Linked DNA regions of Neurospora crassa OR74A. The protein of the gene in region 3 purifies or fractionates together with the protein of the main gene of each other region. This does not show direct contact. Links are inferred from orthologs where the notes say so. Each region holds a gene or a part of one and is shown on either strand. Other genes may lie near its edges.

Evidence for each region.
Region 1: the proteins of NCU04439 (region 3) and NCU06943 purify together in Saccharomyces cerevisiae (affinity purification with mass spectrometry, with the first as the bait; 4 studies listed by BioGRID). This does not show direct contact. The link is inferred for Neurospora crassa OR74A from reciprocal best matches to the Saccharomyces cerevisiae genes HCA4 and NOP56.
Region 2: the proteins of NCU04439 (region 3) and NCU03702 purify together in Saccharomyces cerevisiae (affinity purification with mass spectrometry, with the first as the bait; 4 studies listed by BioGRID). This does not show direct contact. The link is inferred for Neurospora crassa OR74A from reciprocal best matches to the Saccharomyces cerevisiae genes HCA4 and NOP1.

The regions. Positions count from the first base shown.
Region 1 is NC_026507.1:846,372-856,731, reverse strand, and holds NCU06943 (SIK1), read left to right. Parts: upstream 1-5,415; 5' UTR 5,416-5,990; coding exon 5,991-6,160; intron 6,161-6,345; coding exon 6,346-7,741; 3' UTR 7,742-8,153; downstream 8,154-10,360. Other genes in the region: NCU06944 (hypothetical protein), read right to left, coding at 1-603, 669-928, 991-3,239; NCU06942 (vacuolar protein sorting-associated protein VPS4), read right to left, coding at 8,515-8,736, 8,847-9,297, 9,375-10,027. UniProt on the Saccharomyces cerevisiae protein: Required for 60S ribosomal subunit synthesis.
Region 2 is NC_026505.1:2,133,684-2,143,920, reverse strand, and holds NCU03702 (rRNA methyltransferase NOP1), read left to right. Parts: upstream 1-1,674; 5' UTR 1,675-1,961; coding exon 1,962-2,076; intron 2,077-2,312; coding exon 2,313-2,373; intron 2,374-2,435; coding exon 2,436-2,670; intron 2,671-2,731; coding exon 2,732-3,057; intron 3,058-3,115; coding exon 3,116-3,282; intron 3,283-3,343; coding exon 3,344-3,411; 3' UTR 3,412-4,227; downstream 4,228-10,237. Other genes in the region: NCU03703 (60S ribosomal protein L17), read right to left, coding at 379-534, 627-814, 1,017-1,230, 1,419-1,421.
Region 3 is NC_026504.1:3,350,727-3,360,770, forward strand, and holds NCU04439 (ATP-dependent RNA helicase dbp-4), read left to right. Parts: upstream 1-5,275; 5' UTR 5,276-5,396; coding exon 5,397-5,543; intron 5,544-5,620; coding exon 5,621-7,945; 3' UTR 7,946-8,080; downstream 8,081-10,044. Other genes in the region: NCU04440 (hypothetical protein), read left to right, coding at 1,566-4,625. UniProt on the Saccharomyces cerevisiae protein: ATP-dependent RNA helicase required for ribosome biogenesis. Involved in the release of U14 snoRNA in pre-ribosomal complexes. Required for pre-rRNA cleavage at site A2.

The DNA.
Region 1 (10,360 bases), on a different chromosome or scaffold from region 3:
GATTACCCCCCGTATTATTATCATAAGGAAAAAAGCCGACGCCAGTATACTGCACATCAGGCCCCGTCGTCATGTAGTCATTGATCGTGTAATTCGGTGCAGATCCAACCCCAGCCGGATTGGAAACAGGGATATCGATGTCGTCGAGCGAGAGCATCGCGTCCATTTCAGATGCCACTGAGAAGAGTGTATACTCCGGAGAAGAGGTATTGGGCAACAGAGGAGCAGCTGACTGTTCATGAATGTATGGACGAGGTGGCATAGGTGGTTCGGACCAGGTTGTCGATGGCATGCTGCTCAAATGCCCGGCCTGTGTAGCCGGTGCAGCCTGGAACTCGCGCATTGAGATGGATGGGCTGATGTTCGGCGGAAGCAGACGTCCCTGTAATGTCCATGTATCGTAGGCCTGTTGCAAAGTATCTTCGATGATCTTGTTGACGTCGTCAATCCGTAGCAGCACTTGTTCTTGTATGTGTTGTCCAGCGTATTCGTAGGCAGCTTGCGTGAAAAGCCTGGGCATTTCCGTCAACAGGTAGTGTTGGAATTCCAGAACGTTGCGAGACTCGGCTGCCATAGGCTGGAAGTCCTCTGCGTATTCGGGATCTGTCGACAGATCGGTCAGTTTTTTGTCTGGACGCTGTAGACAGGAGGTCCTAAGGAAGACTTACAAGGCGACGGTACAATATCGTTGGGGAACAGCAGTCGATAAATCTCTCTCCATTTTTCTTCGTCGCTTTGGCGCCGATATGTATGTTTTCTGGACTTGAGCTGCCGTTCTTGTGACGTAGTAATGTCTCCAGGCGGTTTGACGTCGAGGAGTTCGCAAGCTTCTGGGGCCATCTCGTGAATCGTGAGCTGTCTCGCATCGCTGAAAGTTTGCTTGCACCGTTGACAATGGATCTTGTAGTGTCTCCGATATAGATGCTCCCTATAAAGAGTGTTAGCGACGTATCATGCATGGCGCGAGGGCTAGGGGTCGTGGTTGCTTACTTTAACCTTGGAATGGTTGGCCAGTCCTTGTTGGCGCAAATATCATAATCCACGCGGTTGTACTTTTCTGGATTGTGCTTACGGAACGGGCAAGCAAATCTCTTCGATGTTGCGGACCCAGGCCTGGAAGCATAAGGCGAGAGCTGACTACCGTCATCATCGTCGTCATCGTCATCGTCATCGGAGGTCCGCCGTGAACTCGGAGGTCGAAGGCTTCCGTCCGGCTTTCGCCGAGACGGTGTGGCTTTTCTCGCTCGATATGGATCCATTCTGTCGGTGTTGCTGCTCCCTGCACTTCCGACACATGATCTGATTAATGCATCCCAGTTGTGGTTATACTGGGACCAAAGTCGTTGTAGCGCCATGTTGATGGCCTGCTGATACGCTTTGCTCCAAGCTCTACTGTTGTCATCGCCGATGTTGTGTTCTGCCCAAAGATCTGGGTCAGAGAGACTGTCATCTGAGACATGTTCACTAGTGCTATCATCGTGGGTCGAGAATCCTTTCCTGGTAATATCAGATCGCATGCTTGAGACAGACGGTGACCCAATGGAAGAGCGGCTCCCTGGCTTCGAAACAAGCAGCCAGTCCTTGCGAACGACGTTATTCATGGGAGCAGATTTAAGCACAGCATCTGAAAGAGAGGGTTGCTGACTGGCCTCAACGCCATGTTCCACAGATACTGCAATTGGGGCTCTGGTGTAATTTGAGGCCAAAGCAGTCCGTGGACGTTGGAGATCTTCCCCTCGGACCAAGTCCACAGTTCCAGGTTTGAGAGCATCAAGACGTCTATCGCTATCTATCCGACGTAGCCCTTTTCGTATTGGTGATGGAGTCGATTTCGTGTGTAAAAATGCATTGGTCATTGTCACAGGAGAAGGAGCGCTCTCTGTGGTGTTGGGCGAGTTTGTGTGATGCGGTGCAATGTCCGTTTCTCGATCCTGGCTTGCCTTGGATAATTGGGTGCGAGCGTAGGGGTCCCAAGCGGGACTTAGTCCAGATTCGACGACAGTTGCTTGCGAAAGAAACGCTGCAGTAGAAATTGCCCCCGCGAATGACACGGGAAATGAAGATTCAGCCGGTACAGGATTGTCGGAGTTTTTAGTACTGATTTGGGGCGCGGACTGCTCGAGGTTTAGGTAGCTCATTCCATCAACTCGAGGTGAAGTGATGTCACCTGGACTCTCCGGCAACGGGCGCAAGCCATGAGAGTAGTACGCCTTGACGAGACTATTGACGTTCTGTTCGGTTCTAATTTGAGCCGTGTCAAAGGCATATTGCGCGATGTACTGGGGGTCCGAAGAGCTGTTTGCAAAGAACTCAAGTATGTCTTGCAACCGAGAGGGATTGCGGGCGTCGTCAGCCTCCGTGGCCGCGTGTCGTCCGGTCGCCTGTTCATCCCACGTAAAATGCAACCTGGTACCTCGATCCCGCTCTTGGTTCGTAACCAGGCGGTCCCATGCTTCCGCTATCTTTGGCTGTTTTAGAAGGCCACGAATCACAGAGGAGTGCTGCCAATGGGCTCTTTGCATGCCTTCTTCGCAGTGCCGGCCGACGTGATCTAGGTAGTCAGGACGCGACTGCACGAAGGCACCGCAGAATCCACATCCCCAAGCACCTCTTGTCGGTAGCTTGACTATGTGTTGAGTCGTTGGGGAAGAAGAAAGATTGTGAACATCTCGACAATGGGATGCAAGAGATGGTCGTTCAGAGAAAGAATCGTGGCAAATGGAGCACAAATGCTCCTCGGGTCTGTCGTGATCCCTGAGTTCGTGATCCCTCCACTGGCCGGGACACGCAAACATGGCGTCGCAGAATGTGCAATGATAGCGAGGTGGGTAGTCATCGGTGTTGAAGCCGTCATCGCATTTCCCAGAACTACAAGGTGTTGCAGACATATTAGGATCCGCCGAGTCCACGGAGTGTTGTCGAACCGAATATCGTGAGTATGCCGTCGAGGCAGTTGAGATTCTTAGGCCAGCAGTCGAAAAGATGCTGGGAGCAGCTGAGCTCCGTCTAGATGTCGAGGCAAGCGAGGCGCGGGAGTGTTTGCTGATGAGATCATGATCGTAAGTCGGAAAGTAGTCGGTCTCTTGCCAGATGTTGTCGGTATGTGTCTCGGAATATGGGTTTTCCTTGGATGTAGTAGTCGGCACCTGATACGAAAAAGCATCAATCTCCCCGACGGCATAGCTGGTGAATCCTTCTCTCACACGGTCCACCTTTGGCTGATGGTGATTCAGAGCCATGAAGAGGATTTGGACGGTATTGGGCAGGTGTATGGTTTCTGTTAGACCACAAAGATATAAGCCAAGAGTATCAGTCTGTGCAGAATCCCGTGAGAAGAAGAAGCCAGGAAACGGGTTACCTCCAGATAGACCTTGTTCAAGAAGGGGTCTTGTTCTTATTTATTGAAGCTCTAGGGGTGTCAGATCATGTTTTGTATCCAGATCTATGCTCATTCGACCAATTGATGAAGTGGATTCACGAACTGGCTGCGCACAGGGCTGTGCAAGACCTTGTGGGGGTAGTGAGATCAAGAGGCTCTCAAGCGCCGACGTGATCCGGGTAGAAGTAACCAAGCTATCGGGAGACGGACCGGTTCCTGGAGGAGGCGGTGCTTTCATTTCCTATGCCGGCCTCTAGGGTGACGCGGAGAGACGGTAGTATCATGTCAGAACAAGGCGAAGTCGCGGTCCTTGATGATGGTTTCGTGGGGTGTGCCGGCGCGGAGCTCGTAGACTGGCCATTGTTCCAAGTCCAGGGTAAGTTAGCGAATAGACTAGGCTTGGCAAGGTACGTAAGGATGGGGTTATGTCGTACGGAGATGCCGCTGTATAGCGACGTAACCCGGAGGGCATAAGGCTGAATCAATGGGGACGGATAGACAGACACTGCAGAGTACCTCTTTGACAGTCTCTTGGCTTGGAAGGTCGGTGTAGATGGAAGCTCATCGCAGCTGCGCACTGTTCAGGCCTCGACTGGGGCATCCAATGGCGTCTAGGAGATGGTGGAGGGTAGTATCAGCGCTGTTCCTTGTGCATGTCGAGTACCGATTTGATATATTGGTCAGATAGGTCGGGTACATATTCTCGTTCACAGCTCCACGACACGTTTGCTTGGTTGATGTTGATGCCCCTAATTCGAAAGCCACGGATCTCGCGCTTCGAGCTACATGAGCTACGTATGAGCGTGAGGCAAGCTGCTCGCCCGAAGAGCCATCATGATACAAACGACGGAAACAAATCACCACGCCAAATACCACCATGGACTTGGCATCACTTGAACTGTCGGAAGAGACTGGATCGACTGAGGTACTGTGTAGTATCGTGATGGTGTCGTCGACGCTGCGAGACCCAAAATGGAAATGATAGGTACACAGCGGCACCACATCCATGCAACGGGCCGGAATGGTGCGCCATCGAAACCCGTACGCTTCTGATGCGCTGAAGAACGGGAGCATTGGGGCAATTTGGGGGTGTCGTGCATGCTGTAGGGCTCTTCCGCCACTGTACATACTGTATCATCCCTCGAAGACCCGGAGTTGGTGTCGCTGATTGGATGTCCGGCTGGACGGAACCGTTTCACGACCAATCCCGCAGAAGCCAGAGAAGGCATTCCCAGATTGCGACGCCTGTGATCATCCAGACAACGGCCATTATAGGATGTGAAACCGATGATGAGCGACATGCTTTGAACACAATGGAATAATCAAAGCATCCCAAGTCTTGTCTTGTTGTTGTTGTTGTTGTTTCTGCCACGCCCTGACGAGAACATCAACGTCGTAGTAGACGATGCGTTGAATGTCCTGAGACCGGGCAGTCGATAATGCTGGCCTGAGTCATCGGGCGGTCCGGTCACTTCAGTTGGTAATCCCTTCATGGACGCCGGGTCTTGCTTGGGAATGCGAAGCGGTCGACACTTGTGACAACCCAAGTCCGAGGTGGGCATGTTGACATGAGGTGGCAGAGGGGAGCCCGAAAGAGAGAACTGAAGTACACCAGTTTGTGAGGCGAGAAGCGAGAGAACCCGTGACCAACGCCTTCACATTTCTCGATCTGACTGCATATCGTGTCTCGTGTGAGCAGACATGACGCCAACAAACAACATGGGATGGCATGTGTCTCGGTCGACGACAAAGGAGTATGTGTTTGCATATTGGCACGAAAACGACCGAATAAGTAAGGGGATTGTGGCATTGCCGCAATGGAAAGAAGAACAAGGATTCATCATGAATCATCCGTCTCGCTGCTTTCCGAATGGAAATGGAAAACCGTAAAAGGATCGATGAAGGACGGACTGTTACCGACACCGCCAAACAGTCCAAGCCTCAATCTCTCCCATTGTGCAGGTCAGACATGCAGATCGAGCCCATAGGGCTGATGTGAGTGAGGGAACTCGACCATTGGCCAAATGATATGCGATCTGGTTGAGTTCGATGCAAAGAGTCAGTCAGGTGTGGTGAGTGGGTGTGGGTGAATGGGGCAGCAAAATGTCCCGTGTCAGTGTGGGAGGTAGGACGACGACGAGGACCCGACTGTCAGACAGACAAGAGGCCAGGCACACGGACAGCTGTCGCTCAGCTGGCAAGACTCTTCTTATCCGAATTCTTATCGACACGAAAATCCAAAGGAGTTTCGCACAATTGCTGCTGCCATTGGTTGCTAAGCCTTCCCAGCTTACAGCGCTCCAACGGGCCAATGGGGTGGCCAATGCGGCGTGAATTGGGGTAGGCAGAATCCCCACCCCGCATGGCTGTGGCCCGTGCTTCGTCCTGAGCTTGCCGCAAAAATTTCGAAAAAACTTGTCCAGGGCAAAAGTGGCAGAGCAAAAAAATATCCAAACACAGCGCCGTTCTGATTCCCGGAGACCGAAGACTGAGTTCATGCACCGGTGGCATTGAACGACGCCCAATTGCGCACAACACTCCAATCCCAGCGCACCCGGTTACCCAGTCACCCATCAATCCAGAGTCATCATACGACAACATCACCGCTAAGATGGCCAACGTCAACTATCTTCTGTTCGAAAGCGCGGTCGGCTTCTCGCTCTTCGAGGTCGTCCACCAGGCCGACACTGTCGGCTTGGAGCTGCCCGAGGTCAAGGATGCCATGAAGGATCTCGACAAGTTCGGCAAGATGGTGAAGCTCCGCAGCTTCAACCCTTGGAAGTAGGTGGCCAGAAGCAAAAGCATTGTGTGGTTTTGGAGTTGGTGTTTCGGGTTGAGGTGGTTGTGGTGATTTCATGGTCATGTGGTGGTGGTGGTGGTGGTGGTGATGATGTTGGGAGGGACAGAAACATTGTGTGAATTGCTTGTCTTGGCTGAACCATAAACTAACGTTCCTTAACCTCCAGCTCTGCCGCCCACGGTCTCGAGGCCATCAACCTCATCTCCGAGGGTATCATGCCCGACCACCTCAAGAACACCCTCGAACTCAACCTCCCCCAGACCAGCGGAAAGAAGAGCAAGATCGTCCTCGGTGTCGTCGACAAGAGGCTCGCTGGTGAAATTAGCGGAAACTTCCCCGGTATTCAGTGCGAGGCTGCCGATACCTCCGAGGTCGTCGCTGCCCTCCTTCGCGGCATCCGCACCCACGCCGGCAAGCTCCTCAAGGGCCTCCAGGACGGTGACATCAACCGCGCCCAGCTCGGTCTCGGTCACGCCTACTCCCGCGCCAAGGTCAAGTTCTCCGTCCACAAGAACGACAACCACATCATCCAGGGTATCGCGACCCTCGATGCCCTCGACAAGGGTATCAACTCCGGCGCCATGCGCGTGAGGGAGTGGTACGGCTGGCACTTCCCTGAGCTTATTCGCATCGTCTCCGACAACGGCACCTACGCCAAGGTCGTTCTCGCTGTCGGCAACAAGAAGTCTCTCAGCGACGAGTCCCTCGACGAGCTCGCCAACGTCCTTAACCAGGACGAGGACAAGGCCAAGGCCATCATCCAGGCCGCCAAGGTCTCCATGGGTCAGGACATCAGCGATATGGATCTCAACATGGTCAAGGACCTCGCGGACAACGTCTCCAAGATGGCCGACTACCGCCGCATCCTCGCCGAGTCGCTCGACAAGAAGATGGGCGAGGTCGCTCCTAACCTGCAGGTCATCCTCGGCACCCCCGTTGCCGCCCGCCTCATCTCGCACGCCGGCTCCCTCACCAACCTCGCCAAGTACCCCGCTTCTACCCTCCAGATCCTCGGTGCCGAGAAGGCCCTCTTCCGCGCTCTCAAGACCAAGGGCGCCACCCCCAAGTACGGTCTCCTCTACCAGAGCACCTTCATTGGCCGCGCCGGTCCCAAGGTCAAGGGTCGCATCTCCCGCTACCTCGCCAACAAGTGCTCCATTGCCTCCCGTATCGACAACTTCTCTGAGAACCCCACTAAGCGCTTTGGTGAGGTTATGCGTGAGCAGCTTGAGCAGCGTCTGGAGTGGTACGCCAAGGGCATCAAGCCCATGAAGAACACCGAGGCCATGGACAAGGCCATCAAGCTCGTCATGGACGACGAGGGTGACATGGACATTGACACCGAGATGGTCGACTCGCACACCGCCACCCACGCCGCCGACTCCAAGAAGGACAAGAAGGAGAAGAAGGACAAGAAGAAGGACAAGGAGGAGAAGAAGGAGAAGAAGGACAAGAAGGACAAGAAGAGGAAAGCGACTAGCGAAGACGTCGAGATGGTAGACGCCCCCGACGCTGCGGAACCCGAGAAGAAGAAGAAGAAGAAGAAGTCGAAGTCTGAGTAAAAAGACCGAAAGAAAAAGAGCCAAAAAGCAGCGTCACCACTTGTGTCTTTTTCACGATTTTTACTTTTTTTCTTCGTCATCTTGTTTAGAGCTTCTCGTCGCGTTTTTTGGCACGTCGTTCTTGTTGGTTCGCTCTGTTGTCGTTGTTATCCTCGGGAGTTTCTTATAATGTATGGGGTATGGGTCAAATCTGGTACAAAGGAGTTTTACGGGTCTACTTGTTTCTTGCAAGAATCATAAATAGTTCGTCGTTGTCGTCATTCACATCTCTTGCCATCTACGACTGATCATAGAGGGGTAGCGCAAAAAAGTTGAAAAGGATGTGCGTGTGTACTAGCATCATACCCATGGAGCATCATATGGCGGCGATATGGGTAAAAACAAAGGCTCATTAAACGAAACGGAACGTACGTCTAAAAGTACCTGGTTGATGTGAAGTGTCATGAATCTATGTACTCTTCCAATATCGCATGATTGCAAAACGCCCATCGACACTCCATCTTCCCCTGATTTTCTCGCTAGAATAATATCGTCATCATCAAGTCTTCGTAGTAAACATGTGCCTTGCCGCATGCAATGTGCTGCCAAGATAGAAAAAGGGGCTTGCAAGACTCTTAACCCCAAAGTAAAAAGTACCTAAAACATCCAGATACCCGCCGCCCTCTGTATACCACTCCTTCGCTTTCCATGGGAGAAACACCAAAGAACAAGAATAAACCGCACGGAACGAACCATTGACCACACCCGCCCCCCACACTGTGGCAGGCATCTCTCTACGCACCCTCACTACCAAACTCCTTTGTCCATTCCTCATTCCTCTTGAGATCCTCGCCCGACACAGTCGGCCTGCTGGCCTTGATGGCCTTGATAAAGTCCTTCTTGTCGACAAATGGTTCGAGCAGCTCGTCCGAGGGTACCTGCTCCCACGTCATTTCGATGGCGTCCGGATCGCCTGGCGAGCAGGGCGTGAGCATTTGTTTGCCTTCGTGGACGACCTGTTTTTTGTAGTAACAAAAGTTAACAATCTCGCATCATGAATAGAGGTAGAAGTAGGGGTTGAGGGTCAGGGATGGGAGAGAAAAGAGAAAAACAAAAAAGAACGAACCTTTTTGAAATGCGTAGCCTGCTGAATCTTCCTCACCGGTTGCATCAACGCATCCTGCACAACAATACTGATATCCGAACCCGAATAACCCTCCGCCGCGCGCGCCAGCTCGCGGAAGTCTTCCGCCTTGAGCGCCGTGTGGGTGTCGCCCACAGCCAGCCGGAACATGGTGGTGCGCGCCGCCAGGTCCGGCAGAGTGATGTGCACGCGGCGCTGGAAGCGGCGACGGATAGCAGCATCCAGCTGCCAGGGGATGTTGGTGGCGCCCAGGATCAGCACGCCCTTGCTGTCTTTGCCGACACCGTCCATTTGGACCAAAAGTTCGGTTTTTATCCTGCGCGAGGCTTCCGACTCGCCTTCACCGCGCGGACCGCAGAGGGCGTCGATCTCGTCGATGAAGATAATGGAGGGCTTGTTTTCTCGGGCCATGGCGAAGAGTTGCTTTACTAGACTGTTTTTTGTTGGAAAATCGTTAGCTTCTCAGTCACGATAGTGGCATAAGGACAGAGACAACAGGACAAAACATACCGTTCACTCTCACCCATCCACTTGCTCACCAAATCCGAGCTGCTCACGCTGAAGAACGTGCTCTTCGCCTCTGTCGCCACTGCCTTGGCCAAATAACTCTTTCCTGTTCCCGGTGGGCCATACAGCAAAATACCCTTCCACGGCTGCCTCTTCCCCTGGAACAGATGCGGGAACTTGATTGGCAACAAGACCGCCTCCTTGAGGGCCTCCTTGGCACCCTCTAGACCAGCCACATCATCCCAGCTGATGTTCGGCCGTTCCTGCAGAATCGCGCCCGCCAACGCACTTCTCAGCTTCTTGCTATCCTCATCCAACGCTTCTCCATTGCCATTACCGTCCTCCCCGGCCTCCTTCCCCTTCCCCGTCCCGCCCGTCGAACCCCCGTTCGCGCCCACCATCCCGGGCTTCTTCCGCTTCGCTTCCGCGTCCGCCAGGTGCGCTTTGAGCTTCTCGGCCCGGTCCATGTACTCGCCCGTCTTGGCCCGGATCATCTCCTTGGATTTCGGGTTCTTCTCCCATTTTAGGGCGAGCATGAAGAGTTCGAGCGATTGGTAGTACAGCTGGTAGGCTTTGTCGTACTGGGCGGCGTTGTCGGCTTCGATGGCTTTGCGCACTTGCTCGATGGCGCGGCCGAGGAAGTCGGTATTGGACATTTTGTGCGGCGGCGGCTCGAAGCGTGTAAAGTGATGTCGCGTGAATTCGTGGTTTAGTCGAGTGTAGGATTGGTCGCTCTTCTTGGTACGCCGTAGTAAGCGTTTGTAGTCGTTATACTTGTTTGCTTCTTCGCTCGGACAAGGAGAGTTTGTTGATATTCGCGCGCCGAGGTTCGAAGTCAATGTCAACAGATGGCCATATGCGAGGGAGGAGACCCGTTGATGACGACTGCTGTTGTCCTAGGCTACGGCAACGAGAGTGGCAGAGATAAGGTGAAGAGAAATCGGGAATTGGTCGTATCTTGCGGGCGTCACCTGGCAACGACTACGGCA
Region 2 (10,237 bases), on a different chromosome or scaffold from region 3:
CACGCAGCAAAGGGGGCACATCCAACTGAACTCGGGGATGCTGGATTGGGTATCGTTTCGGGAAGGCTAGCTACCTGAACATCATGCGGCTCTGCATCAGGGGCAGACAGGTACGTCACAGCCACTCTCAGAGCTCAGGTAACCCGCAGTTCGGTTTGGCGTCCCGTTGGCAATTACGCCAGGGCTTGAATGATTACTTGTTTCGCCGTGTCATGCTTTCTCAAATTCTTTTATTGAGTATTCATGATCGACCCCTTTTTCCCTGGAATCGTGACCTTGACCCGAAAAATGCCATGCTCGCGTACACCGTTCCGGAAAAAAAGTGAAGCCCTCAATCAAAACATCCCCTCGTCCAATCACCTAGCTATCAAAGCGCATTTAAGCGGCAGTGATGGCACGGCGGACGCGAGCGCCACGCTGGCGGGAGGAAAGGTGAGCCTCCTCGCGGACAACGGCCTCGGACTTCTGGACGACCTCATCGGCCTCAGTGAGGATGAGCTCGATGTGGCAGGGGTTGGACATGTAGGGGTTGATCTAAAACATAACTGTTAGCCAATGACCGGCTTGATCGTCTATCTGCCGGCGCAGAAGCAGAAATCAGGGGGGTATCTCCGGGTTTGACGTACGCGACCGTGAGCGCGGTAAGTGCGGCGGCGCTGCTTGGGGGCCTGGTTGACCTGGATGTGCTTGACAACGAGGTTGCCAGTGTCAAGACCCTTGGCATCGGCGTTGGCCTCAGCGTTCTTGAGGAGACCGAGAAGGAACTCGGCGGACTTGGCGGGCCAGCGGGCGCGGGAAACACCGAACTGCTTGCCTATATGACGAAGAAACGGTCAGCACCGTGTCTTCTATGTCCTCCATTCGATTGCGGTTTCGTGTCGGTCGGTCGCGGTTCCATCATGCTGACAATGCCCCCCTATTCCCCCGCCACTTTGTCCTCCCCACTGTCGTCGTCGTCGTCGCATGATGTACCGGTTCGGGTGTGTTTGTGCATGTAAATATCGAGTAAGTCGTACCTTGGGCGGCGCGGCCGGTGCCACCAGCGTAGCGTCTCATGGGGACAGCCTCCTTCTTCTCAAGAACGTTCTCGAGGAACTTCTGAGCACGCTGGAGCTTCCAGCCATTGATGGCCTGGGCGGTCTCACGGGTGTTCTTGAAGGAGACACGGAGGTAAGAGCCGCGCGAGCGGGCGGACTTAGCCGGGGCAATCTCAGTCGCAGCGTACCGAACCTGCGATTTTGAACAAGACTCGGTCAGCGATTCCCTCTCCTCCAAGTGCTCGCAATGCTCGCAAAGCCGTCATTGTCGTCCGTTGAGACTTTCGTCGTCATTTCGGCTGCAGAAGCCCGAAAACTGTCCTGAAGCAAAATAACGGCGGCGATTCTCTCGTTCGGCGGATTTCGCAGGGATTTACTCACCATCTTGCCTGCTTGTCGATGAGAGGACGGGGAATCGACCAAGTGTGATGTTCAGAGGTGGTGATGGGTTCCAATTTTGGCGTACAAAAACCGATTTTCGCGATTAGGGCTCTGTGGGCACTGCGCAGGTGGCTCGTGCGGACCGTCACTTTGCCTGAGGCACGTGCACGCGGGGACAGTAAGTGCTAGCGCCGATAACAGCCTGCCTCCTGGACTGCCGGCCGTGCACGATAGCATCCGCAACAAACTGGAGAGCCTCGACCGCCACGCCAGGACGACAGCCAATTGCAAAGGCAGAAGGCCTCGACCGGAAAAAAAAGTGCTCCAGCGATGAGACTTCGTGCCCCGCTTTTTTTTCTTTCAATCCATGTCCAGGAAATTTTGCACCCAGCTCCAGCAAAAGCTCTTTTCCGAGTCCTCGACAGCGCCGCGCGACAACTCTAAACCCATTGTGCCTCGCACGACTGATCTTACAACGCGTTTCGGCCCAGAATCGCAACTCATACCGACTCCGACTTATCAATACCGACACATTCTATAAAAATGGGCTTCGAGCGTGGTGGCAGAGGCGGCGCCCGTGGCGGTGGTCGTGGTGGATTCGGTGGTGATCGTGGTGGCAGAGGCGGCGCCCGTGGCGGTAGCCGTGGTGGCTTCGGTGGTGAGTTTGGCCTCAATGCCATCGCCTGAATGGTCTTTGCGGTTATGTCGTTGCTTCTGTTCGTCATCTTGAGAGATGTCTCTGCGTCTGCTGCGGCCCGTGGTCGCCATGCATGCCTCTTGACTTCTCGTAGTAGGATGGCGATTTCAGTCGAACTTCATATCGCAACTCGACTCAACATGCGATGGCAACAGCAACCACATTAACGCAACACTTTACTGACAATGACTTAACAGGCGGCCGTGGTGGTGGTGCTCCCCGTGGTCGTGGCGGTCCTCGCGGTGGTGGCCGTGGCGGGTACGTCTTGTGTTCAAAACCCTTGATTACTCCAAAGACATTGACTGACATTATGAGTATAGTGCTACCCGTGGTCGCGGTGGTGCCCGCGGTGGCGCCAAGGGTGGTGCTGCTGGCAAGAAGGTCATCGTCGAGCCTCACCGTCACAAGGGCGTCTTCGTCGCTCGTGGTGGTAAGGAGGATCTCCTCGCTACCGTCAACCTTGTCCCTGGCGAGTCCGTCTATGGCGAGAAGAGAATCTCTGTCGAGAACGCCTCTAAGGAGGAAGGTGGTGCTTCCACCAAGACTGAGTACCGCGTACGTTTTCCAGGCTTTCCAGCTTGTGGCCTCAGACAAAGACTAACATTGGACTTTGCAGATTTGGAACCCTTTCCGTTCGAAGCTTGCTGCCGGTATCCTCGGTGGTCTTGAAACCATCTATATGAAGCCTGGTTCCAAGGTCCTCTACCTCGGTGCTGCCTCCGGTACCTCGGTCTCTCACGTTGCCGATATCGTCGGTCCTACTGGTTCCGTTTACGCCGTCGAGTTCTCTCACCGTTCCGGCCGTGACCTCATCAACATGGCTACTCGCCGCACCAACGTCATCCCCATCGTTGAGGATGCCCGTAAGCCCATGGCTTACCGCATGCTGCTCCCCATGGTCGATGTCATCTTCGCCGATGTTGCCCAGCCCGATCAGGCCAGGTAAGCCGACTTATACAGATCCTTGACACTGTATGTGCCTGACACTAACACATTTCAGAATTGTCGGCATCAACGCCAAGCTCTTCTTGAAGCAGGGTGGTGGTCTTCTCATCTCTATCAAGGCTTCTTGCATTGACTCCACTGCTCCTCCCGAGCAGGTCTTCGCCTCTGAGGTCCAGAAGCTCCGTGAGGACAAGTTTTTCCCCAAGGAGCAGTTGACTCTTGGTACGTCCATCCGCTTCCCTTTTGGTTGATAGAGCCAACAATAACTAACAATCACCCACAGAGCCTTACGAGCGTGACCACGCCATGGTTTCTTGCGTCTACCAGCAGAAGGAGTTCGTCGATAACTGAGTTTCGAATTAGTACTGTTCTATCTTCGTTGCTCTGTTCTGGAACCTTCACATAATTCGGTGTTCTACTGGCAGGATGGTTTTGTAAATCTGGAACGGCGAATGGCGTTTGGGTATCTGCCTTGTTTTAGCATTGTGGGAATAAAGCACCAGGGTTCTTAGACTGATATCCGGAGTGACCCCGGTTGCTTCCATCTTACGCCGCCTTTCACGATCTCGTCACGACTCCTAAGTCACCGCGCAACGAACCTCCTGTTCACCAGCGAAATTGGCCAGCCTACAACACATCAAGAACGATCACCAGTCAATCACCCTAAGAACGAGAAGGGCGCTGGATAGTCAAGCAGAGGTTGCTTTTATCGGCGCTTAAAATGCTCGACAGCTTGGTTCGTCTTTATGGCGTTTGAAATCTGCGAACTGAGAGTCCCTCCCCTTTCATCAGGGTATCACGTCGAAAACTGAGACTATTCTGGCCATTCGAGTTTCAAAGGAGATTGTTTGGGCCTGGGGACGCAAGGGTACTGCAAGCCAGTCATTACATGGCTTTGAGGATTATTTAAACATGCCTAGAGTCTATCCAGGATCAAGAGGATGCTGGGCCGTTGGTTTCGCTTGTTGATGAGCAAATTTGAGCTTGCTTAGTCCTATAGATTTACATATCAGAGTTTTGGGTCATCTTTGCTCCTTATCATCGGCCTTGTCGGCGGTCTTGTTACTTCTTGAGCTTATTGTTTGTTGCTTTATTCGATGCTGGATATGCTCTGATCTATGATTTGCATGCTATCTAGCTCTTCGATATCTCACCCCATTGCCTCTACACCTTCCCCGTACTAAGCGCTCTTGCACCGCTGAAAATCTTATCTTCTTGGCTCGTTTGCTTGCGGCGTTGATCAGAGCTGACAAAGTAACTCAGGCGACAACATATCCCGGGACGAGACGCGCAGCGTTAATGGAGAGTACGGACAGTGTAAGTGTGATCCGTTACCGGGTACTAAGCCAAAGTACCTCTACAACTTGTGGCCCAAGCCAGGCTAAAGGATATATAATTACTATGGTCCCGGGGATATCTTGGTCGACGAGTATCGAAGCCAAGGTTGGCCGTGAGCAAGCCTACGGGGGTGAGGGCTGAATCAATTACGTGAAGTTATCCCTCCCCTTGTCTGGTACCTATGTTCTTTGTCATGATGGGGTACCGAGGAACTCTAACACACCCAGCATGATGCAGATCGGCTTACTCTCATGAACAGTTCATGTTGTTCTTGTTACGTTTCCCAAGGGTATCTCTTTGCAAGGTTGGGGCTCTCATGAAAGACGATTGAGAGTCTACCTGTGAAATCCTTACTTGAGCCTTCTTTCACCTGTCGACACGAGCAGTGGCACTTCACTGAATGAGTATCCCACTAATTGTCTCCCAAGTCGTTCGAAGAGGACCCAGTCCTCAAATCCGTCTGTCCGCGATTTAGTTCGCGCAACAAAACTCACGACTTAACCAAAGACAGTAACTACATGAGGCGCGCGCCTGGTAGGCGACCACCTTTTCTGGGATCTCTTAGCTGCACCTAAAAGGGGTAAAGTCCCAAGAAGCAATCGACCATCAGGATTGGCGCCTTTCGAAGCGGTTAAGCAGGAGGAGGCTTTTTCGTCGGCGACAAACCAAACCCGGCTTACTCTTGGCACATATCTCGTCAGTGGCTTTTGCTTCTCTCACACTCCCGTTGATGATCATGACGATGATTGGCGTTATACGATCGACCACCTTAGGTGTCAATCCTTCGGTTCTTTCTGTAGTTGTCGGTCCAGACACGAAGAACGACTTGCATCGTGAGTGGTGAACGAGGTCTGCAAATGGACGAATGCCAGACCGATGTACGCTTTTCTTTCCATGCGTACCTTCCTCAATCTTAGCCAAGTGGGAAAAATGAATGGATGGCCAACTACCAGCTACGTGTTGTCAAGACATTCCCTTGCGTCCTGTCCAAGGGAGATGGACTTGGCCTTGGCCTGCCTGAAGTATTCTCATCTCAGACGTAGTCGGCCCTGGATTTGCGGAAGCGATGAGGTGAATTGTTGAATGGCGGCAAGGACGGGTTGGACGAATCATAGCATTTACAGTAGGCATTACTTGGAACTCGAGCAGATATCGGAATAGTAAGCCCATATGGATATCTCATACAGGGAAGTGATCAAACCTGGTGATGTACATACTTATCCCCTATTGGCCCCCATGACTCCGTCGGCATTTACCACACGTTCTTCACACTTGGCGTAAAGCATTGCTTATACGAGACAAACTTAAACGCCATATAACGGAGTTTACTCTTGCTCGTTGTCGGATGGTGGCCATTTCATCCTCTTGTGCAGATCATTCGCAAATGCCGTTCGTAAAAGTTGAGCTCTTCACTTGTGATTACTACACTTTTTACGTCTTGCTTAACCTGTCCCACCTGATTTTTTGTTGGAAGGTGGTAGGCATACTCCGTAATTACCAATGACTGATTGTTCCTTCCTCATCAATCATCATCGGTTCGGCAATCGTAGGTCGTTGCTCCTCCAAGAAAGCAAAAGGCTGAAGTTCAGTTTACACGGGAGAAAGAAACATCGCCACTGGGCCCGGGCATGAGAGACGCGCGACTACACCTCACGATAATGGCTGATTAGGTTCTACCCTCACAAGGCCAGGATGGCTGGTGTCTATCCTGGTTAGGACTGAAGTACACAAATCGCACACATTTTGTTTCACCGCGGCACGGCAGCTGCAAGGCAAACGAATGCGGCAAAAATAAGCGGAAAGAGCGTGCTGATTTGGGATCCAAAGGTATGATCTGATCGAGTGATGTGCAAGAAGTACCCAAGACTTTGGTGATCCGGGGAAGGAGCCAGATGATACATACTTACATAATACGTATCTTACCTATCCGGTCCATGGGGTTTAGACTCGAGGATGCGGGGTGGCAAGGGTCCAAAGAGGTCCAGATCTTCCTTTGACACTATTCTCAATCTTGCGTGACTTTGACTTGTTCCGGGTATACCTTTGGAGATTGGTATGATTGCTTGCGGGATAGGCTTATCGGACCAATACATATAACCTCAAGCCCTGGTTATGGTCAAAATCCTCGTTCGGCAGGGGCATGGTCTTGTTCCAACTGAACTATAGACGACTAACACCACTAGGATCTTAGCCAGGATTCGGAAATCCGCACCTCGTGGACATCTGACCGACCGAGCTAATCAAGGGCCGCCTCCGAAAAATATTCCTTTACCATGCTCCTCCTCGAACTTGCTCCGAGCCTATTACAATCAGACCAGTTCAAGTGCAGATTTTTTTTTGTTTTTTTATTTATTTTTTTTCCTGTTGGAAACGTAAACACACTATGTTAGGTGTTGTGGTGACTTGTATTGGTTCAGTTGGACCCTTCAACCTTGAAACCGTCCGCCCAATCTCATTCCTCCAAAGTACTTGACTGAACCGAAACGGTCTCAACTCCGCAATTGTGGCTTGCGCATAGCAGGCACAACACTAGCTTCGAAACCTCGTTTAAGAAACCATTCGGGAATGAGCCCGAACAAGACACAGACGTTGAGACTAGATATACACTGCACTAGGTAGTATAAAATGGTAAAGTGTACGATGGCCGGCAAAAGAAAAGAAGCTATCGGCTGTTAATGGTCTGGCCCGGGCCAAAGTACACCCATACATACCATGAACGTCTGGCCAGACTGCAGTGAACTGGAGTGTCCCACTGCCTCCCCTTTCCAGAAATGGTGGTGGCGCGGGGGGAGGGGACTACCGAACCATCCAGCTGGGAACCGAAAACTCGTGTGAATGCGAGCGCCCAGACTGCGCTCAGGATTTAGCATCGATACATACTGCAAGGTCGGACAGGCCTACGTGGGCTTCGCCTCATCTGTCCTTGTCCTTGTCCCTGCCTTTAGTTCCTGGGACCCCTATCGGTCTACATATCTGGATGGGACCCTGAATAGTGGCGCATAGATCGATAGAGGAAAATGGTACATCTCCGGGATCATCAGAGTTGTAATGGCCTGATGGAGATCTCTTGTCCCTCGTTTAGGTTTACAAGTGTACAACAGGATATCGTGATACGAACGAGGGCGAGATGAAGACGTCACTCGTTGAAAACAGTTGTCCAAATCGAACCGATGTGTATAGAGTCATGCATCTCGTCCCGGGAAATTGGGTCCCATCGTTTGTACGACCGGGATGCTCAGCATCCGGTATGTCAGTGAAAGGAGTGCTGCTAGAAATATCCTTTTGTGCCCAGGTGTTGCTTGCTAAGCCGTTTGGAAGAGGGCCTATGGTATGTTGAAGAAGAAAGTTTGATCGGTGGCCCCCCGGTGTGACTATGCAATGAGGCCTCATTCTGTGGCTCGATCGAGGGCGTACAGAGTCGGGACGTCATGCTGACATTCCGGATATCTTGTGTGTTGAAGAGTACAGTAAGCATCACGGGTGCTTGCCGAAAAGTATTGCTACCTATTCCGCTATGTACGAGTGTCTTCGGTGTGTCCCTGGCTTGTGAGATGTACCTAGCTACCTCTATTTCTTTCCATTCATTGGTGCTTCGCTGGAAACCTCAACTATTGGGGGAAGGATGACACAAGAGCCAGACAAGTTTCTGACAAAGGGTATTCGAGCCTCTCGATGGTGCATGGGATTTTCTGATGTCGAGCACGTATGAGAAAAGAGAGAAAAAAAAAAAAAAAAAAGAAGGAAAATAGAAAAGGGAAAAATGAAAAAGAAAAAGGAAAGGGGTACGCTTCAGTTAAGGAAGCAATACGGAATTTCAGTGGGTCATTTTTGCGACATCCCGATGGGTCTGGGAGACCGCTTTCACTCTTGGGGCGTCCGGAGACGGCAGACATCTCTTTGCCTTAATTCTATACCGAGAGTGGCACGATTCTCGATTTCGAGTATCCAGAAGTGGGGAGGAAGTATTAACTTATGTGAAGGAGGGGCGCCATCGGTTCACCGTGAACGGCAGCCGACATCATGATGGATAGTCCCGTGTTGATAGTGATGAGAAGACCGAGCCGTCCAGTAGTCTAAGCACTCATGGCATCATGGAAGCCAACAAGCTTTTCCATGTCTTCTTTGCTGCGATTTTCTGTTACCCTCTCTGGAGGCCGGCCTTCCACAAACGGGTAGAGCACCGAAAGGTTAAAGCTCAAATCAGTCATGTCTCCGGGAGTGGCCCGTGGTAGGGACGGGCGGCGCCGGGGGCGGAGGCGTGGAGGGACGGGACGATGGTACCCAACAGTCAACGTCGCAACCGGCGAGGCCGAATGGAGTGACGAGAGAAGCGCGCCAGAAGTGACGACCAAAAGTAACACCTAAAGTGTGATGTCTTCTAAGAGTCTTCCGCCCACTTTGGCCCAATGGAGAGTACTGGCATCGCTCACCGTGGATGGCGAGGAAAATTCCCAGGGTCGTATTTGTTGCACAACGCACTTGAGATTGAGAGCCAGTGTCAGTATCGTTTGACGCGCAAGATATCACTTGTCCTCTTGTGTTGCTGAGTTCCCCGAGGGAGAGTTTGACGGGTCGGAGCACACTTCCACTTCCGAATAACATGCCATCCCGTCGGTGTTGATGAGTGTCTCCAGGATGATCGCCGTACATCCCGTCCATCCTGCACCAGACTTTTGTTCAAATAAATTAATTGATTCGGGGCCTGAGCACAAGGAACCGTGGTATTGGTTACGGAACCCTTGCAGCGATCTGATCGTCCAAATATAGGAACCGATGCACACAATGTACGTATGAAGACTTCCATTCTTATGTGGTAGACTTGATGGTAGGCTTTGGAAATCAAGGCAATAGGGTTGGGAAGTCTCTGGTTACCTACCTTACGACCCCCTTATTGCTCATGGTGGTGTACTGGGTTACTACTGTCAAGTTTGAAAAAGGTCGCTTGCAGTTTGTGCGACATGGACTTGCAACAAATAGAACTTGTCCAATGTCGACTTCAAGAGATCCAAGGTTGTATATTGTCACAGGGAGGGTACACTTGCACACGTGACTGGTATGCCGCCTTTGCAGCCAGCAATTTTCTTTGCTTCACGCTGAACGCGACTGGACTCTTTAATGGCAATTATGCGCTGAATCGAGGATATCTGGCGACTTTCACAAAGGCGTTGGACGGCGGGATGTCATTATTTGGTTGTATGTCAAATTCGAAATGGAAGTCGTTGCTGCAATGCTGCGATTGTGGCTGGTGCCGGCGCTATGTACACTAACACAAATAGACTCCACTCAAAGCACCAACAAAGGGGCCACAGCGCTACAGGTCTTATCGCGATGAGCTTCAGGCTACCTAGGCAGCAAAGGTACCTATCGATGTACCTTCACTGCGTACGTACAGTACGTACCTAGGTACCCATCCCCATTCCCTTCCCCTCCCCCCCGGAGCGTCACATTTCTTCAGATTTTCCACTTTCTCATTCCGCACTTCCACTTGTTCGTCACAGCCTTGCAACCCAGAAGACCCCACCTGCCATTGCATCAGGGCAATGCAAGCAAGCCTAGTCTGCGTCCTGATAAGCACCAATCTTGTCTGGTTTTCACGGTCGGCGAGAGCCCCGGATCGTCATTCGGAAACTTTCGAACCTCACCGACACAGCATGGGCCCCGGGAGAGTGGGGGTCCGGCAGCCGGGGGAGAGTGGAATCGCGCTAAGTGTTGTGCCGGTGCCGTTGCCGGGGGAAGAGAGACCCGCCCACGGACATGGCCAACTCGCGGACAACTCGCCCTTTCTCCTCCCGCGATGACACTTGCGAATACACAATGGGGTAATCGAGAATTGACTGGC
Region 3 (10,044 bases):
AGGCAGTCGGCCGCGCCAGCAATGCGCACACAGGCACATAGCTGTTTCATCGCATCCTGTCCCGTCTTCAATCTTTCCACTTGCTCCAAGCTGAGGGCACTCCCTCGCTTTCTATTGTGATTGCGCTGCGTCAAAGACAGACGGGAACCTTCGACGAAGAGCAGCCGAAGGGTCCCCTTTACAACAAAAGGCACCATTGAACAAGAGGCTCTCACCAGACAATGACTGCTAACAAAGGCAAGGCGGACAGCTACAGCTCAACATGAAAGGCAGCTCGAGTCAACCAAGACATCGATCCACAAAGAGACGAGGCCGTTTTCAGAACAAAAGACACCAGCAACTTGCCTTGTCCGTTTGCGAATGGATGCATGCATTGTCAATAACAACAACAACATCAACAACATCCCTACTTACCCCAGAGACATCGCTGTAGCAAAGTAATAATCATCTTCTGATTCACTTCCGCCGGGCCCCCTTTGCTCAGCGCTTTTCTGTCTTCATGCTGGACAAGCCACGATCTCAACCTCAAAACATTGAATGAAAAAAAAGTGAAGCAAAAGTCAATTGTTCCCCAACATCCACGACGTATCCACAATTTCTGTCAGGAAAAAAAAAAGATTCCCAGCGTTAGAAGGCTTTCGCTCAAGTCTCCTTTGATCGCTGCTGCAGCCTAGCATCGCGTCGGTGCCATCAATCGAAGCCACGCGTGCCGAGTCTGCAAGGGAACGCTGCACATCATCGCCGAGGACCCGACTACCCGACTTTTCACTGCGTTCAGCGAGGAGGTTGGGTTACTTTTCTTCAGGTCTCCCTCGCGTCGGATCTGTTGGCGCAATTGACCAACGGTATCGAGTAATCACCTTGGGCATCCGTAGGGCTCTTCAGCAGTTTCACCTTGATTGGAGGCGGGTGCCACGTGTTGCGCGCCTCGCAAATAGCAAAAGTCTGGTTGCCGTTCAGTCGCAGTCGCAGTCGCAGGGCGAAGGCGCATCAACATATCGCAACCACCCGAAGATCAACCTCCAATATACAGACCGGCGGCGGCTTCGTTGTCTGGCTGGTCTGGACAGGAGGACGCTCACCCAAGCAAAATCGGCCTGCAGCGGCAGCCTCACAAAAAGAACCCCAAGAGCCACCTCACGGCTCTGCATTTCGGCCCAGCCTCTTAACACCCATCGATTCGTTGTTACTAGCAACTCGTCTTCAAAAGACTTGGGCGGCATCTTAGTCGTCTAGTCCGACATTTAAATGTGAGTTTGGATCGCCCCATGCACATGCTCTAACCGCGGCTCTTGTTTTTCTTTTTTCAATTCGCCTATAGTCTTCAACATTTCTGTAACGGCTCTCAATTTTGGGATCTTTTTCCTCAGTAGCACATTGTTTCCAACCGTCTCTGTTCATTGCGACAACATTGTGTCATAGGAAAAAGAAGAACATCAGTTGTTCACATTTTGGATTTTATAACGCCTTCTAACACTATGGACAGTTCATATTCCAATCACTGGTCCCACGTTGACCTCGCGTTTCACGACGTTAACAATCTTTTCACAAAATCCACGGCAACCATGCCTCCTAGACGGATAACGCGGAGGTCGGCGGTGTCACCTTCGCCTGCCCTTTCCGATATAGGCACGCCAAAGCCTGGAAAGCGCGGGACTTTGATTCCTGTTAAGCAGGTCAGGAATCAAACGCCCACCAGATTCAGTCTCAGTTATGGCTCCTCACTGGTGGCTATGCCAGACAGGAACAAAACCGCTGCAGGTACTGATCTCGAAACGGCCTTCGCCGAGATACACGAAACTGTCAGGACCGACAATATCAAGGCTGAGGCTCGCCGTCGAGAGCTTGATGCGCGTAGGGGTAGCACAACTCCTGGCCCCAGACGCCCTGACCCAATTGAGGAAGAAACCGAAGAGGAGGAGGAAGAGGATGAGGAGGTGCAGGAAGAGAAGGAAGAAGACGATGACGACAACCAAGGTGGCTACTACAATGACGAGGAAGAAGAGGAACCCGCACCAGACCCGCCCCGGCGTGCTACGAAACCAGTCCAAACTCTCAACAAGCTACAAGATCAGATTGAGAAGGCAAAGCTACTAGAAAAGCAAAGGGCGGAGGAGAGAGCAGCGGAAGAAAGGGAGAAAGCGGAGAAGGACGCTGCGGAGAGAGAGAGGAAGAGGTTGGAGAAAGACAAGAAGGACAAAGAAGAGAGGGAAAAGAGGGACAAGGCTGAGAGAGAAAAGAAGGAACAGGCCGCGAAAGCTCAGCAAGAAGCCAAAGTAAAGGCTGCGCGTGAGGCCCAAGAACGAGCCGAACGAGAAGTCAAGAAACGAGCACGCGACGAGGAGGACCAGAAACAGGCCGAGCTGGAACGTGCCGAACGAAATGCTCGGCTAAACCGTGAGCGTTCTGAAGATGCGCGGCGTCAAGCCGAACAGAAGCACGCAGCAGAGGCTGCGCGTAAAAAGGAAGAGCAACGCCAAGCTCGAGAGGCAAGCGAAGCAGAGATGGCAAGCCTGGAGGAAGCAAAGAGGCAGGCTATGCGACCACCCCCTCCACCTTCCAAACAACTGCTTTCAACACCACCTACTTCCAGGACAAGGGAACTTGTGGTACCCGATACCGGCAACAGCTACGTGGAGGAAAGCGATGTCTACACGGACTCGGAAAAGATGAGGGAAGTGCTCGAAGAAGAGGTGCGAATGGCTCAACAAAAGCGATTAGCCCGATATACCCCAGAGCCTCCAGAACCACCCAGAATCGCAAGGCGACCAGCGTCAACCCTCTCCAATTCTCTCCAACCTCCTTCCCATCAAGTCGATCAACACCAAGACTTGTTCGACACAGAGGCGAAATCCATGTCTGACAAACAGTATCCGTCCTTTGGCAAGGTGTCCAAGCCCACAGCTGCAAGACCAAACCAAACATCCAGGCCGCGAGCCGAACAGTCAAATACCACCAACGTGGAAACACCGCCTCCTCCGTATACTACTGCTCCTCCTACCTTCGTGCAACGATTACTGAGTTTGATTCGCCGTTCGACATGGGGCGTGTGGAAGCTGTTCACATTCCTTGTACCAGTGCTCCTCATCGGTCTGATAGTCTTAACCGCGTCTTCTTATGGTTCGCCGGATGCGAATACCAGCATCCGATGGTATGGCTGGAAGCACTGGAGGAGCAACGTCGGGCAGTTCATCCCCAGTCATCCGCAGCTAACGGATGATCAGTTTAATGACTTGAAGGACTTTATCCTTGAACAATCTTCTTCTACGGAGAGTGCTGTCAAAAACATCCAAACTCTTCTTCCCCGGATGGTGCACGTTAAACGTGGTCCAAACGGCGATCTCATCATTCAGGACGATTTTTGGCATGCTCTTCTGGATAAGATGCTCAAGGACAGCTCGGTTCTCACGCTTGACGGCACTGGTGACATTTCCGAAGAGCATTGGGACGCACTACGGCCGCGCCTCATCAAAGCCGGACTTTTCGAGAAGGGCCCATCGGATGAGCATATCTTGCAGATTGCTGAAGGCACTGTTTCCAAATCTTGGGAACGTTGGGTAACCAAGAACGGGGAAAAGGTTGCCCAGGTTGTCAAGGAGCATCTACCAGGCGACAAAGGCGATGGGGTCACGCGTGACGCAGCCATCAGCCGAGATGAGTTTGTGGGCCTCTTGAAGAAAAGGATTGCAGAACACAAGGAGGAGATTGATGGTCAATTGGATTCCGTCAAGAAAGGGCTTGAGACACTCATCGACACTACGGTCAAGGCGGCCATCTCCAACTCCGAAGGCAGTCTTTCCAAGTCCGAAATCACCACCTTGGTTAGGAATATTGTCAAGAAGGAGATTCCTCGGGCGCAACTTGAAGCAGCCGCTAAGGACGGCATCATGCGCAACTACCACGACTACGTTGAAACTCAAGTCAATCATTTCGGCCTGGGCAATGAAGCTGGTATCGTCTTGTCGGAATCATCCCCCGTATACCGACTTGAGTCGCAAGCACTGCCAGGCAACAAGCACCTCAGCAAACTGCTCGGCAAGCCGAAGCCCATTTCGAGCAAGGATAAGGTCACCCTGGAAGCAGAATACATGCTGGCGCTCTCTGCCTGGAACGACGTTGGCCAGTGCTGGTGCGCTGGCATCTCAGCCAGCAGGGGGGCCGAGCTCGCCGTGGAGATGGCCAAACATGTCATTCCCCAAGCCATCGTCGTTGAGCACGTCCATCCGAACGCGACGAATGACCCTGGGTCCATGCCCAAAGACATTGAGATTTGGGGATACTATCCGGACGCGGACGACAACAAGCGACTCCTGGCTTGGATGGACGAGTTGTACCCTGGCGAGCGCGAAGCTGACATGAAGATGGTCGACGCAAACAACAAAAAATCGCTGTCCCTCATCAACAGAAAATACGTCAAGATCGGCGAGCTGGAGTACGACTATGCCAAGACCAGCGGTAGCCACGGCATGTTTGTCCACAAGCTGTCGGAGGAGTTGCTCGATCTGGATGCGGCGACGTACAAGGTGGTCGTCAGAGCCAAGACGAACCATGGAGCCCTGGATCATACATGCATTTACCGCCTGAAACTGTTTGGGGAGGAATTAGAGTACGAGGGCGAGGAATAACAGGATTGATAATGGGTATCTGGGCGACGGATCTTGAGCTACCGAATACGTATTGAAGGGAAAAGCAAGGAAATTGGGAATGGGGCAAGGCGTTTTGGTCCTTTTTTTTTTTTTTATCGCTTTCAACTTTGGGAAACGTACATATGGGTGGGTCTAGTGGGTTGGTTTTATTGCGGGTGTCTACCTACGAAGGAATCATGTGAGCGAGCGATACCCGTCTTCAAGCTCATTTTTTTCGTGGTTCAATACATTATGCTTTCATGATAGTTTGGCTCTTTTCATTGCTCAGGCACGGTGTTGATGTTCGAATGTTGCTGTTCTAAGTGAAACATGTAGATTGCTGAAGTTGTGGGCGCTGAGATAAAACCACTACAATTCGAATTTGGTTCGATGCAAAAGCTACTGTGAATTTTCTACTTCAGCCCCGTACAACTGCCCATCCAACCCATCATGAACCATAGCAACGACTTGAGAATGTCACTGGGGGCTGACAACTCGATGGTCGTCTGTCTGCTCGTATGACCCTAACCCTGGTCTGAGCTGGCCGCGAGTCCGAGACCCCTGCTGCAGATCCCCTCGCTTACAGTGGATGAGGTGGGTCGAGCTGGCAGAATTGCTCTCCGCCAAAAGTTTTCCCATTCGCATCGAACTGAAAGGCCACCAGCGACGACCCGCAGGCAATTGGATTCGCTCGACTAGCAGACCCGACCTTTGGAACTTCGTCGAACCCACCACGCCCAATTTCCAGCACGTTCAGACGATACAAACACAATGGCTCCAGGAGGCCCCAAAGGCCGCGGTGGCAAGGGCAAAGCCGAGAAGGAGAGGTCCAAAGCCAACAAGGCCGAACACAAGACGTTGAAGAGGAAAAGAGAGTTGGAGAACCTCGAGGCGCTTCAGAAGAGAATCGACGAACTTGTAAGTCCTAGTACTGAACCCCCGTTTCTCACCATACAACCGCACACGCTTCTAAATATTGTGTCTCAATCTACTAGGACCCCAAATCCACCGAACTCAACAAGTTCTCGGACCTTCCCCTTTGCGAACCTACCGCCTCTGGACTACGCGCATCCCATTTCGAGGTCCTAACCGATGTCCAACGCGCCGCCATCCCTCTCGCGCTCAAAGGGCAAGATATCCTCGGCGCTGCTAGGACAGGTAGCGGCAAGACCCTCGCCTTCCTTGTTCCCGTCCTCGAGAAGCTATACCGTGCACGATGGACTGAGTACGACGGTCTCGGTGCCCTCATTATCAGCCCGACCCGTGAATTGGCCGTCCAAATATTTGAAGTTCTCAGGAAGATTGGTCGCAACCACAGCTTTTCGGCAGGCTTGGTCATTGGTGGAAAGAGCTTGAAGGAGGAGGCGGAGCGTCTTGGGCGCATGAATATCCTCGTCTGCACACCTGGCCGTATGCTGCAGCATCTCGACCAAACGGCCGGCTTCGATGTCGACAACCTCCAGATGCTCGTGCTTGATGAGGCCGACCGCATCATGGACATGGGTTTCCAACAGGCCGTTGACGCTCTTGTTGAGCATCTTCCCAAGAGCAGGCAGACCCTGCTGTTTAGCGCCACACAAAGCAAGCGTGTCTCGGACCTTGCCCGGTTGAGCTTGAAGGACCCCGAATACGTCTCTGTTCACGAAGCCGCAGCATCGGCGACCCCCGTCGGCCTCCAACAGCATTACATCGTCACACCTCTCCCTGAGAAGCTCGACACGCTATGGGGCTTCCTACGAACGAACCTCAAGAGCAAGATTATTGTGTTTATGTCCTCCGGCAAGCAGGTCAGATTCGTCTACGAAAGTTTTAAGCGGATGCAGCCCGGTATTCCACTACTACATTTGCATGGTCGCCAAAAACAAATAGCACGTCTCGAGATCACGAACCGGTTCACGTCCGCGAAATACTCCTGCCTCTTCGCCACCGATGTCGTGGCCAGAGGTGTCGATTTCCCCGCCGTTGACTGGGTCATCCAGGTCGATTGCCCTGAAGATGCCGACACCTACATCCATCGCGTCGGCAGAACGGCGCGTTACGAGAGCAAGGGCCGCGCCGTCTTGTTCCTCGACCCCAGCGAAGAAGAGGGTTTCCTTAAGCGTCTCGAGCACAAGAAGGTGACCGTCCAGAAAGTGAACGTCAAAGAAAACAAGAAGAAGAGCATCAAGAACGAACTACAGTCACAGTGTTTCCAGTCACCCGATCTCAAATACCTCGGACAGAAGGCTTTCGTCTCGTACGTCCGTTCGATTTACCTGCAAAAGGATAAGGAGGTGTTCAAGTTCGACAAACTCGACCTCGACGGTTTTGCTTCCAGCCTGGGTCTCCCAGGTACTCCACAGATCAGATACCAGAAGGGCGAGGACGTCAAGAAGCTCAAGAATGCCTCGCGCGCCGCCATGTCCAGCGGGTCCGACACCGAAGGCTCGGACGGCGAGATCCGCAAGAAGAAGAAGGAGGTCAGGACAAAGTACGACAAGATGGCCGAGCGTCAAAACCAGGACGTCTTGTCGACGCATTACCGCAAGCTTCTCGGAGAAGATCAGGCAGAAGACAACGAGGAAGACGACTTCCTCTCGGTCAAGCGCGTGCTGGACGACGATGCCGCCCTCGACGACGCCGCCGGCAATGCCAAGTCCGGCACCAACCCCGACGGCACGGCCAAGGTGGTCAAGCTGGGCAAGAACGCCGAGTTGGTCATCGACTCGCACCGTCGCGAGAAGCTGCTCAAGTCCAAGAAGAAGCTGCTCAAGTACATGGAGAAGGGCCAGAAGCTTGTGTTTGACGACGAAGGAAACGCCCACCCGCTCTACCAGCTGCAAGACGAGGAGGACTTCCAGAAGGAGGGCGACGCCAAGGAGCTCAGGCAGAAGTTCGTCGAGAGCGAAGCCACCAAGGTCAAGGAGCAGGATGTCGAAGACAAGCTGCTGGCCAAGCAGCGGAGGAAGGAGAAGAGGGAGCGCGCCAAGGCAAGGGAGAGGGGAGAGGAGGTCGAGAGGGAGAAGGGTCCCCTGCAGCCGGCGCTGCTGGACGCGCACAGCGATGTGGAGGAGGATCCTTTGGCTTTGCTCAGAAGTTTGCCTGTTGCTGGCAAGGGCGGTGACAGCGGTGACGAGAGCGAGGACGATAGGGAACCGCCTAAGAAGAAGGCTAAGAAGTGGTTCCAGAAGGATGACTCGGATACGGAGTATAGCGATGACGGCAGGCCGAGGAGGAAGAAGGCTAAGATGGAGGGCGGCAGGAAGGTCATTGAGATGGATCATGAGCCGGATAACTTGCAGGATTTGGAGGCTTTGGCCGCTGGCTTGTTGGAGGATTGATGAGTTGGTTTTCAATGTTGGTGTTGGTGTGGGAAAAGGAGAGATATCGGGGTTCGTCATCCAATCATGGATGTTTACATACGTATTTTGCGATAGTTTTAGACTTGTTATGATACCTAAACCACGTATTTTGACAAAAGGGTCGGTCCCATGCCACTATGCTCCCTTCGTGTAGAATACATTTCCAGCTCCAGTCTCTATCCATCCTTTCCCAGCAGCTTGCGGCGAGATTTCGGGGTACTGTAAGGCTGGACGAAGCATTTCGTAAGTTTCTGAAGCATGTCTCTCGCTCCTTCCAGCACAGGACAGCACCCCGGACACTCGGATGGATGGCTGCTTCCGTTTTCGCCTTCGTCAATCATTTGTGGATGAAGGAGCAGGCCAGAACCTGGAAGAGAAGTCAAGGTGTCAAATTTGATACTTCGATCATCCCCATCTGAGGCGGGATTGATCTGTTTCTGTCGTTCGTTACCTCTCATTTATTGAAAGTTTGAAAATGCTCTACCTTCTCTTTGTGTCCTCTTTTCCTCTGAAATCATTTTTTTCGTAGGCGAAACTGTGAGGTAACCCAGCTATCTCTCCGCACTCGTGGGAACATGCCTTTTCTTCCAAGTGATTCGCAACAACAGCGGGCTGGTTAATGTCAACCCTGGGTGTCAGCTACACTGGCCGTTCCGTCGCACCACCTATCCTTCAAGGGGGAAAAAAATAATCGATAAACATGATGGTGTTGTATGACATTTACAAGTAGCAATGTCGGCACAGCATATGTAAGGCTCAAGCCTCAGATCAAGCAGTTCGGAGTAAGTTAAGTATCAACACTCTTGCTAGGGAACCCATATGATGATATTTCGTCCCTTGAATTATTTGCACACTCTCTGCAAGAGACTGGTTGTTGTCTAGGTAGGTATCTGATCAAAGCCATCTCGTTCAAGGCATCTGCCTGAGGTCCGTAGCGGGGAATAGGAGAAATGGAGAGTTAAGGTGCTTCCCCTCGACTGACGGGAGGCTTGTGTCAAACGAACGACGGGACGAGATGCAAGCATCCATGATATAGCCCCTTCACGATAAGATGCCGCGTTTGTTGCGATCAGTCTTTTACACACCCACACACCCCTTGGTAAGGCTGTCTGATGTTTTCCTGGACAGCAATTATCGCCGTCAACAGATGTTCGAGATGACTGGTACAGCTTCATCTTACTTGTAAATGCTCCTCTGTCTGTCTTCCGCACACCAGCACGCTTTTTAGCACATTTCCAATTCCGCAAAGACTCGGGCCATTGATTTTCAACTTCTCTGGAAATCAGGCATCATCGGAGATACTTATCCATACCTTATCACATCAGTTGGACCAAGCCGAGTCAAGTTTTCTACTGCCTTCAAGTACTTGATACGTTCTCATCAAGGCACAAAGTTAACGTTGAAACTCCGTACCTTGGCGTCTATTGACCGGCACTCCCTCCTAGAAAAGTAGGCTGGCTTGAATTCCGGTTGTCATCTTTTATTACCACTTTACAATCATGTGCCTTTTCCGTAGTCATATTTGCGCGTCCATCAAGATCAGCTGCAGATTCTAACATTCAGCAGGTTTTCCACGCAGGGTTGAGCGAGTCCTCCGGCTGTCTGCTTGTTTGTACTGCTCGTTGGCACTTGCATACTGCGTGCTATGCCAAATCCCATTGGATGAGGTACCTAGAGGTACTTGATGATAGCGTCACCATCCAAGTCCTCTGCTTCCCTGCCCACTCGTACTTATAAGATGTTTCTGCAAAACGACGTGTGCCCTCTTCGGCCCCTCACCTCAGCTTTGTCATCCAGAAGCCTGCTTGCGGAGATACAATTACATTTACCAAGGCGCCAGCTGGCCTAAACTTCTTTTCCCTCATTGAGATTGACCATGACTACTCTTACCGTCGAGACACGATCGCAAACTGAAAAGCTAGCCTCCAGCAAGACTGAGGCCGTCCAAATCGAGACCGTACAGATAGAGTGTGTCGTCTGCACAGAGACGAAAGACTTTCTTCATTTTCCATTGTCGAAACTCTCTACTGATTGTCAACACGCGATGCGTGTCTGCGTCGAATGTGTTCGTTTGAGCA